Ovis aries: one gene and its partner. The protein of the gene in region 2 interacts with the protein of the main gene of each other region in a biochemical or structural test. Links are inferred from orthologs where the notes say so. Each region holds a gene or a part of one and is shown on either strand. Other genes may lie near its edges.

The links.
Region 1: the proteins of RACGAP1 (region 2) and ECT2 form a complex in vitro, tested with the Homo sapiens proteins (3 studies listed by BioGRID and IntAct, with this or other methods). The link is inferred for Ovis aries from reciprocal best matches to the Homo sapiens genes RACGAP1 and ECT2.

The regions. Positions count from the first base shown.
Region 1 is NC_056054.1:215,452,234-215,457,896, forward strand, and holds part of ECT2 (protein ECT2), read right to left. Parts: intron 5,292-5,663; coding exon 5,212-5,291; intron 5,105-5,211; coding exon 5,012-5,104; intron 3,494-5,011; coding exon 3,311-3,493; intron 1,955-3,310; coding exon 1,865-1,954; intron 743-1,864; coding exon 635-742; intron 1-634. UniProt on the Homo sapiens protein: Guanine nucleotide exchange factor (GEF) that catalyzes the exchange of GDP for GTP. Promotes guanine nucleotide exchange on the Rho family members of small GTPases, like RHOA, RHOC, RAC1 and CDC42.
Region 2 is NC_056056.1:136,296,109-136,301,771, reverse strand, and holds part of RACGAP1 (rac GTPase-activating protein 1), read right to left. Parts: intron 5,549-5,663; coding exon 5,412-5,548; intron 4,481-5,411; coding exon 4,411-4,480; intron 2,783-4,410; coding exon 2,729-2,782; intron 1,804-2,728; coding exon 1,723-1,803; intron 1,349-1,722; coding exon 1,231-1,348; intron 548-1,230; coding exon 417-547; intron 1-416.

The sequences.
Region 1 (5,663 bases), on a different chromosome or scaffold from region 2:
TACTTAGAAGTATTAACCCCCATGATAGCACTAAGAGTTTAAGAGAATATATCTGATTAGGTCACCAAATCTTAGATATGAATTCTAAGTATACCTTCCAGGAATTCAAGATTACCCTAAACTTACCATTTGCTACATATATACACTGATGGAGGATGAGAACAAAGTGATAAACTCTTCAAGTGCGATCTTGAACTAAGACTTTAATCCCAATAAAAGTATTTTCTCCTGTTCTATAATTTTCACAAGTTAAATCTTGGAACTATTTTATAAGAACAAAGTTCTGCTCTAGATAAGAGAAAAATACCTACCTTCATCACCTTCTGACCCCCTTACTCACCAACGCTCATAGTAATTCTTTCCTAATATTACTCATCTAAAATGTTATTTACTTACCAACCTCCACTATCCTAATCATCTTTCAAGACCTAACTCAAGCTCCACTGCCTCCTTCAAACCTCAGGGGCCACACTCCTATGATTTAAAATTTTTTACTAAACACACATATAGCAAAAACTGAATTTCTGATCCTCAATAAATTGTGAGAGAAATAGACAAAATGAGAACACTTTCATTAAATCCATTACCAAACAGTGCTATATTGAAATACACAAAAATACTAAAATTTACATACCCTGAATTTTTCTCCTTGTGTACAATTTGCCACCAAATGTGTAACTTTTGAATTAAAGTCTTTTCTAATAACTCCACCCATGTGATGAACCAATGTCACCAATCTGACCTCAAAAGAAAAAGTAAACATTGGTTTTTTTTGATTAATATAAACAAAATTTTAAATGATGTTTATAGTTCATTTAGCATATACTGATTTCTATTTATCAGGTACATGAAAGAATTTTTATAAAGTTTATGTTAAAAAAATTAAAAGATTCATTTGCCTTACTGGCATAGGCAAAATCATACAGAGATAAGGTAGTTAAGATTAACATACAAAACTAAGTTAATTAAAGACTGGCTTTCACACAAGTGAAAAAGTAAAGATATTACTTCTTAGAGGTGGGTGGTGAAGTAAAAAAGCTTGTTGCTTTGCCAGGCAAAGGGGGACACAACAGGCTTGTGTCCCAAAAAAATGTATGTCCTCAATTTATTACTTTTTAAAAGCCAGGTTGTCATCACATCAAGATTCTTCCCACTGAATTCTATTAATACCCCATTCAGTCAGTTCAGTTCAGTCACTCAGTCGTGTCTGACTCTTTGCGACCCCATAAATTGCAGCATGCCAGGCATTAGCTCCAACATAAATAATTTTACAGATCAAAGAAAGAAATTTCTATGAATTCTCTAGAGCAATGAGAATACTTTAAGACTAGATATATATAATAAAAAATGGCAATGCATAAACAAAAACTTCAAATAATATGCTAATAAAATACTTAAAAAGACAATTTAAACAGACAGCTACGAAGTTTTCCTAATTCACAGACCAGCCACCCTAGACAAAACATTTGTTTGTTCACAAGGCTCTTCAGAGTGTTTCTTCACAAAGTTTAAGACCCCTTTCATACTCATAGTGGGCTTCCTGGTGGCTCAGACGGTAATACGTCTGTCTGTAATGCAGGAGACCCAGGTTTGATCCCTGAGTCAAGAAGATCCCCTGGAGAAGGAAACGGCAACCCACTCCAGTACTGTTGTCTGGAAAATTCCATGGATGGAGGAACCGGGTGGGCTACAGTCCATGGGGTTGCACAGTCGGACACAACTGAGCGACTTCACTTCACTTCACGTTCACAGTAATTTCTCCTTCAATATTTTAAAAATAAAATCATGATACAACTACCAAAAAAAGGCAAATTTATTTTTCTAGAGGAAATATTCTTTGACTAGAATGTTTTAAAATACTTACTAGTTCTTCTTTCTTCCTGAATCCAGTAAAACATATTACTAGATTCATCATGCTGGTACAATAGAGTGGGCGACATGCAAATGGCAGGGGCTGAAGGATACAATTTTAAATCTGTGAGACTCTCTACAGCAAAAATAGAACACATCTTTCTAAACTAAACATATTTCCCTCTCTTGCCATTTAACACTCCAAACCCCAAAATATACTTGCATCTTTCAACATGCAAGAAATCGCAAGGATCAATTTCACAATAAAAGTTCCCATGATTTCCCATATCATATTTGATACACATAATCTAAACACACTTTACTACTGCCAAATAAAACATAAATATCCATACCCACACCTTTGTTTCCAAAATGTACTTTGATACATGAGGTATTGTCTATAATAAAAGATTTCCATATACTACTGTAAATGCTTCAAATTAAAGTTAAAAGAGGTCAAAAATATTTTTCTAATAAATACTGATCATACATATACTTGAACCAAATATGATTCTAACTTTTCAGCTAAAAAATGGAGATAGTAAATAATTTAACAAATGATTTTATCTATCTATATATGAAAGAGAATGCTTAAAAACAGATATAAATTTAATTCCCACTATTGGGCAGAAATATACTTTTCCATAATCTTGGCCTTTAAAATGTTTATGTGTTTTTTAAAAACAAGACTTCTGAATCAAAACAGAAAACTAAAAGATTATAATGTGCTCATCATTAGTATCTATAATAAAAGAAGCACAAAGATCTAAGCAGTTTAAAGTTACTAAGGCAAGCTTAAGAATGCCAAAACAGAGCAATAAAATATGTATCACCTCTGCTACAACTTGAATGAAATGCTATTCAAAAACAAAAAGCTAAAGTAATTTCCCTAATTTATCAGTAGAAACTGATAAAAATGCAATTGTGGTAGCAGTTCTATGTGGAAGAAAATTAAAGTTTATGTACTTATATATACATATCTTTGGTACTCAGGTTTAAAGCAAATTATTTCTTCCCAAGATACTGCAGGTATTAAGATTTTGTATATACATATGATATTCTTCGGGCTTCCCAGGTGGCGCTAGTGGTGAAGAACCTGCCTGCCAATGCAGGAGATGTAAGAGACGGGAGTTTGATCCCTGGGTCAGGTTCGTTCCCTGGGTTGGGAAGATCCCCTGAAGGAGGGAGGGCAGAGAATCCCATGGCCTGGCGGGCCAAAGTCCATAGGGTTGCAAACGGTCGGACACAACTGAAGCGACTTAACACGCACGCACACACATATTATTTATGATTAAAGGACTTCTGAGTTCTACAGAAGGTAGTACTATAGAGTAGCCACTACTATTCCTATTTTAAATATTTCATATTCTCAACAATTAATGAGATTTTTTTGCAAAAAATTCATTAATAAAATTTTATTAACCTTGAAAAGTTATAATAAGCATATATTCCTTCTTACCTCTCCTTTTTCTGCACAGTTTAATACAACTGGTGGTCCAATAACTCTACAATCAGCCTTGTATAACTCATTAAAGACAGAATCCTGGAAGTCCATGACTATGAATACATTTTCAAATTCTGGAGAATCCAAACTTTTAACTTCTTCAACTGATTCCATCTTTACAAATGGCAGTTTAATTTCCTTGATTTTTTTCCATGGCATTATTAAGAAATAAAATTTATATATTATAAAATCAATTATAAATCTCTCTAAATAAGACCCCCAAATCAACTCAGTATCAACATTTTTATTTGTATATTTGTAGAAATGTAGAAACTTAAGTTTTAAACCATACAATGAGCATTATACTTAATAGTGAAGTCATATTTCTTTACTTATTTATATAAATATATCTCTACATTAAGATTTTAAATTTTGAAAATTATTATAAAGGCGTAAGTTTCTGACATGACTTGGTAGCCATTATAAAGCATCTAGTATGGATATAAAAATAGGGATGATGAATTTTTTAAGTACACATATTTTGATAGTAGGATGCCTTAGAAAGATATCCAGAGTTGCTTTTTATTCTGACTGAGAAAATGATGCCATACACATAGTTCTTCCTGCACAAATTATAGTCAGAAAAAAAGAAAAAAATACTATGACATGCAACATCTACAGAAAGTTCAGTATATATGAGGGAAATAAGAGGAACATAAGAAAATATGGAGGCAACTACAACTTTGTATACACAGGATTTAAAAAGACAACTTTGTAATGTACATCCCTGACAAAGAATGAAGATAGTTAAGGATCTACATGACTTGTATAAAAAGAACAGAACCATTTAAAAGAAAATTCAAATGGGGGAGTCAATATTTGGGCTTTACTTCCCAGGCTGATGTGAAGGGATGAATTGTGTATCCCAAAACTCATGTTGAAGTTCTAATCCCCTGTACCTCAGAATGTAACTATTTCAAGATATGGCCTTTCAAGATGTAATAAAGGTTAAATGAAGTCACATAGGTGGATTCTAGTCAGACTGTATTAGAGGTGGATAGGTGTCCTTGTAAGAGAGGACATCTGGACATACAAGAGAGATATGCATGCACAGAAGATGAGCCACATGAGGATAAAGCAAGAAGGTGGCAGTCATCGACAAGCCAAGGAAAAAGGCCTCAACAGAAACCAAACCTGCTGACACCTTGATCATGGACTTTAGCCTCCCGGAAAGTGAGAAAACATATTTCTATTGTTTGAGCCGCCCAGCATATGTTATTATGGAAACCCTCACAATCTAGTATTAGCTGGTATAGGGAATTAGAGATATTTCATACAGTGAGGTAAATTCCCTGATGACTGTCAAGTATTGACTTGCAATTGTAGAAGTAATGCAAGAATTTGGAATAAAATAAAATTATTGAGGAAAAAGTAGAGTTTAAAGTATTAGATCTTCACAAATACATAAGTGAAATGTCATTTAAATTTAACAATGCCAAATTACTCTATAAGGATTTCATTATTTATAAAACATTATAGTTTGAGGTTTCAGAAACATCCAAATTTTAAAATAAATGTCATAGTTTTCATTAATCTAGTTTCAGAGTGTTCAAAGTATACCTCACGTCTACTTTAGGCCCAATCACCATTAAGTGGACTATAGAATACAATCAAAGGAAGTGCAGCATGCCACATGCAACGAAAAGCTCGACCTACCATATTAACAATACTTTTTATTAATTTTTCATCCGATTTTCCAGGACAACTTTCTTTTATCTTTATAACAGGGACTTCCATTATGTTAATAGTCTGTGGAAAAGAGACTTAATTATGAGATTAAGAAAACTATAATTTATGCACTGATGGAAGGAAAATAGTCTCTTTAAAAATAAAAATAAAAAGTTCAATCTCCATACCTTTAAGGCTTTTATAAGTTCTTCTTGTTTTCCAGATTCTTGAACCAGTATGACTCTGGTTTCAATCTGAGGCATTTCTTCTATTAAAATTAAAAACGTTTAAGCAAAACACTTTTATTATTCACTAACATCGAAATCAGTAGTCTCCAACCCCTTTTTGGCTAGATCTATAATGTTTTCCATCTTTGAGATAATAACATTCCCTGAAATTAAAATGACTTAATTCCTGGCTTTTTAAAAAAATCTCATCAGGTATCATTTCAGAAGAGAAACATACTGTATTATAAACAAAGTATTCAAACATTAGCACTCTTCATAACCAAAGAAAGCATTCACCAACTTGCAGTCATCCTCTTAAATAGTGCATACAACTCTATGAAAGATACGTTAACACAGTGGAAAGGGAAGAAGTGGCTCTTCACCTACCAGTCCTAAATGAATATATTCTAGCT
Region 2 (5,663 bases):
ATACACTAGTGGAAAGAAACTGCTGGCAAGGAGTCAGAAAACCTCTATGTTAAACTCTGCTACTTACTGTCCTGTGGCTCAAACAAGTCAGTTAAGGCCTCTGTGCCCCTGTCAGTTTGCTTGGATTTTTACCAGAAATCAAATGGGACAAAGTTAAGGCGTGCCATATTCAAGCATGAACTGTAAATACATATCATGATAAAGCAAACACTGCTTCTGAAAAGTTGCTTTCTTTTACTATCACTCACAGAATGGAAAGATACACACCCTCTCTAACCCTGGAGAGGGGGATGAGGAGGAAGGAAATTTGACATTTAACTTTACAACACTAAATATTTAAATTTGTGATTAGCAAATATTACGCCCACCGTTAAAAAATTAGATGTGTCCCAAAGCAGCAGCAGCCCCAGCTTTACCGTCTTAGAGACGAAGTCGTGCAGGCGCATCCCCCCATTGCTCTGCGGAGTGCTGGAGCCGTCTGTTTCGGTTTTTGGCTCTGGCTGCCTGCTGCTCAATGTGGAGTCACTGTTCCAAGGCTGTAAAGTACCTAGAAAACAGACAACTCCAAGCTTTGTGTCTTAGATGTTTCGTTCCTTCTGAATTTTTTTTGCCGCACCCTGTGGTTCATGAGACTTAGCTCCTCAACCAGGGACTGATCCCAGGGTCCTTGGCAGTCAGAGTGCGAAGTCCTAACCACTGGACCGCCAGGTAATTCTCCCGTCTGAATTTTAACCCCAATTCTAATATAACCAGTAGGGACTTCCCTGGCAGTCCAGTGATTAAGAATCTCCCTTCCAGTGCCAGGGGACATGGAAAAGAAATATGTCTTCCATGTTGGGAAACATCCCACATGCTACAGGGGAACTAAATAGCCTGTGAGCCACAACCAAAGAAACGTGCACGCCACAACAAAGATCCTGAGTGCCGCAGCAAAGATCCGACACAGCCAAATACACAATATAACTAGTAGATAACCAGGAGTCTATAACACCCAGAAGTGAACTATGCAACACAGTTTCCAGAGAGACAAGCTACACACCAGCGGTGTAGGTCAGGCTAGCAAGCCAAAGCAGGGCATGACAAAACAGGGCTCTGTCCCCCAGTAAGAAGCAGTACAGTGAACGACCTGAAACATCCAGCCCCTGACTCATGAGGGTTCTAAGAAACCAGTTCTCCCCGGATTTCACCAGTTGTTTTTACATAGGCAATTCAGCCACAAACCCAGCGGACCTGTTTTCCTTCGGCTCCGGGTCCAATATGGCACGGTCTCAATAGTGGACACAGCCTCGATGGGCCCGCCATCATTGGGAACAGTCACTGTAGTTTTAGCAACTATGGATTCATTTCCCTGAAACAAAGGCAGTAATGAGGGAAGGATAAATCTAATTTCCCTTCTACTATGGGTGGTTTGGTGTAGTTAAAAAATTCCTGAGTCTTAGTAAGGACTTAAGCCCCTAGCCCCAAATACTCTTGAAGTTGAAATCTAATACTTTCAAATGAAAATACAGGTCACAGGGGTATACAAGCAACTGAGAACAAGCATGAAGCTGATGTTGTTTACTATTCTATTCAGATGGATAAGGATCCCAGTACAGAGAAGAATTTTCACCAAACAGCTCTTTCGAAATAACACTGCAATGTTGACTCGGGATTTTTTATGCTTGGGGCCACCACACTTTGTTATGTTCAAGACCACAATTCTCTCAGCCTAGTTATTCTTACTTGGTCTGCAGTGGAGCCAATGGAACGCGTTTTCTTTACAGGACCAGGTGGACCATCCACGAACTGTCGGCTATTCGAGCGCTAAAAATGGGGCAAAAACCAAGAACTTTAGTGTCAGATAGGAGATCTGAAGCACAAAAAATAAAATTATTCCATTAGACAACTTGGATGCAAGTCCTAGGTACCAGGGCTGCAGGAAATAACAAACAATCTGCTCTCTCTCACAGCCTATTTCCACAAAAAGGCCCTGAGTGCCCTAGAAGAACAAGCAAGCTTTGGAAAAATTTAGATGGCAGCACCAGAAAAAGTAGAGTGTAATCCTATCTAAGAACATGAAGTCCTAGAAACATATTAAGGACCCTAAACAAGCACAGATAGATCTCTGTATATCCCATTATATACACATTTCATCTGAAACTTCTATTAGAGCACAAAAGTTCTGCATAAAAATTCATATGACATCTCAAAACAAACTTAAATAGATCCTTTTCCTCTCCATGAATGAACTTAAATCAGCTCAGAATAGTGAAACAGGCAGGACAGGATTCTGTCCTGAGTTTACTACCTCTGCTCCTGCTGCTGCTAAGTCACTTCAGTCGTGTCCAACTCTGTGCGACACCATAGACGGCAGCCCACCAGGCTCCCCCGCCCCTGGGATTCTCCAGGCAAGAACACTGGAGTGGGTTGCCATTTCCTTCTCCAATGCATGAAAGCGAAAAGTGAAAGTGAAGTCGCTCAGTCGTGTCCGACTCTTAGTGACCCCATAGACTGCAGCCTTCTGGGCTCCTCTGTCCATGGGATTTTCCAGGCAATTACTACCTCAGGGAACATCAATACTGCCCCCGCCCCCAACATGGATTCACTTGTAATATGTGTTTAACACCAGCTAGAGCAACATGTCAGGAATGTAGCACAATGGCAACATTTCGGAGGAAACTCTTTTATTGCTACTAAGTAAAAACAGACACACACACACAAACCCAAAAGTAAACAAAACCATACATACCCTCTTTTCTCTCTTCTTCAGTTTCAAAGTCTTTACCAAAGAAGAATCCCAATCCTGTTGACAATTATACTGTATCAATTTCCTTCTTTGGTTAGGCCTTCCCTAAATCCTATGCAAATACATTTACAGAAAATTTTAAAAACCTCCTGAGTCTGAGTATCTAACTCACAATTCTCAAATGTTATAGCCATAGTGCTGTGGTAAGTGAACATGCCTTCTTTCCAAAATTGAAGCTATTATAATAGAATCAGGAATCAATACCACAGAGGCAAGAAAAGGTTAAAGAATCAACTTCTGTCGTGATTATCTTCAGTACCTGGTCCTTTGTTTCTGATTATTTTTGTAATTAGTTTTAGAACTCACAGAATGGTGGGCACTATACTAATGGTTCAGATGTGATCCTTGCTCATAAGGGACTGCTACCATCTAATTCGATATTCTATACAAGGTAGCCACTTTAAAAGTTCTAGTTTAGAATTCACATCTCTCAATCATCCTTCCTCCTTGAGCCCTAAAAAAGTATTCATTTGTCTTTCACTGTGGTCTAGTTTTACTTCACTCACTTCAACCATTTGCATTCATCTTTTGTAGCTACCTATGACCTCCTGACCCTGATAGTCTCTGAAAACACAAAACCCCTAAACAGTTGTATATATTATAGCTTAGCTAAATAAATTTAACCTTTCCAATTTATGGTCAAGTAATTTAGCTACTGGTTGTTTGACTCAGCTTCAGTTACAACAGATATTACAGCAGAGGTCTAGCTCTAAAATTAGCTAGAAATATATTCTAGTTTTATTAAAAATCCCAAACTGTGTCATTCCTTATTCCCAAAAGGCGATACCTAATATTAATATTTACAAAAGAGCAATTACTGCCCTAGTCAAACTCTGAATTTGGACAGAAAACTCTGAGTCTATGTAACAAGCAGTTGTCATTTGTTTTGCTATCATCAAATGACCAACTACCAATAACCTCCTGACTTGTTGTTTTGTTTGCTAGCTTTCCACCAGTCAAAGAGGAAAGCTACAGAAACCATAAGCTGCAAGTCTCTGGAACAAAGACTGAATATCAGAGTATGACCTCTTATGCAGAAACCCCACCATACATTACAAGAAGGGTGCTGCCCCACAACAGCAGGGCAACAAAGGGCTCAGACAGGTGAACCACTGCTCACCAAGGTATTGTCTAGTGCCTGGAAACTTTCATCAGCCTTTGGGCTAAAGTTCCAAGGCACTGGTTTCCTTCTAATTGTGAAGTATGACTAAGTTTTCCTCAAGAACTAATTTAATTTAGAAATAAGGCACACATCTACTCTAGCCAAGAGCAGCAAATAAAGCCTGCCTGGATAGAGTCTTGATAATTTTTTTTCCCCCCTAGCTGGGGTTTTAAAAAGTCAAGATGTAATAACCAATTAGTATAGGCAGCTCACAGATTCATTAAATAAATTTAACCTCATGCCAAATCCTAAATTCCATATTCTCACTTCCAAAGGCTAAATATATAAGCCAATTTCTTTCAGGCTTGTGTGTATTTATATTTTTAAAAGCTAGTCATTATCTATAACATATCAACTAATAAAATAGTAACAAGGGAATTTCAGAAGAGAGGACAGAAGAGAGATTCCTGACGGAGCAGGGTTAAGAAAAATAGATAATTCTCAGAAATTAAGTGTTCATTACCAGGGATTCATCGGTCTTGTCAAAGCTGATATCGGATAAAATGGAACCAGATTCATCAATGGTTGACAGTCTAGATGAGTGAAATAGTAGTTAGAAACAAGACTGTGGAAAGTAAAATCCACCAACACTGGAAAAAGTCACACTGGTCAGGTAACATCAGCAATCTCACAGCAGCATCTTCCCTGTGGAGATAACTACAAGCTCAACCCCTAGCTGTGGTGGCCGCTTTTTACGGTTTTCAAGGGGGACTATGTGTATGTGTGTGTGTGCACACACGAGCACACATGCAGCACAGCTGCTATTTCAGCAAAGGGCTCATAACAGCAGTTGAAAGTTACAGTCGGGGTATAGGTGCTATTTCCTGCTGAGTCTATACTACAGGCTGCTAAAAAGTCACAAGGCGGAAGAGTGAAGTTCAGTTTGATCCCAACTGTGGTTGTTTTCTACAAGAGAGAGAATTACCCAGCATTAGCTTTCTAACAAATTAAGCCCGTAGATCTTCTTAGTTATAGATTCCCATAAAACAACCAGACAACAAAATAAATACCTCAAAGAGTGCTGACCTTTCCCTATGTATTGTATTGGGGGTGTTAATTGAAAGCTTGGCTGAGACTATTTTAAATAGTGGTGCAGTAGAACCAAAACTATCATCTGGTCTTGGCTCACAGAGGGTCTTTCTTAACCAGAACTACGAGAGCTCTCTAGAGAGCCAACACTGCAAGTATTGCCACTTCCACCTTTAGGTTTCTTAGCAATGGGCAGGATTATTGATGTTGGTACAATTGCGCACCAACGTCAAATTTTACCCTTAATGAAAAAACCTAAGATAAAAAAATAAAACGGGACGCCCCTGCACCTTTATTTCCCACCCAGCCTTCCTCCAAAGTCTTTTCCTGTTTTATTTAGCACACATTCCAAAAGCAGTATATCTAAGAGTTTAGACAGCAAGAACGTCTGAGAGCTGTGTTCCTGTGATCAGGTAACAGATGCAGTTCCCCCACCTTTTGTTCCCAGCGTTGCCACTGGATGGGTGGCCTCTGTTGAGAAAAGCCAGGGCTGATTTTTGCTCTTCACTTAGTTGGATGCTGCCAGATGTATCACACATGAGCATCTCTCGAATCAGCTGAATCTGTCTTTCCTACAGACCAAAGCAGAGTAAAACGTCCTAACTAACCAGGGGAGAAAGCGTCACCTTAAATTTATGGGACAGGCAGACCAGGAGACATTAAAATACAGCATTATGCAAATGAGCC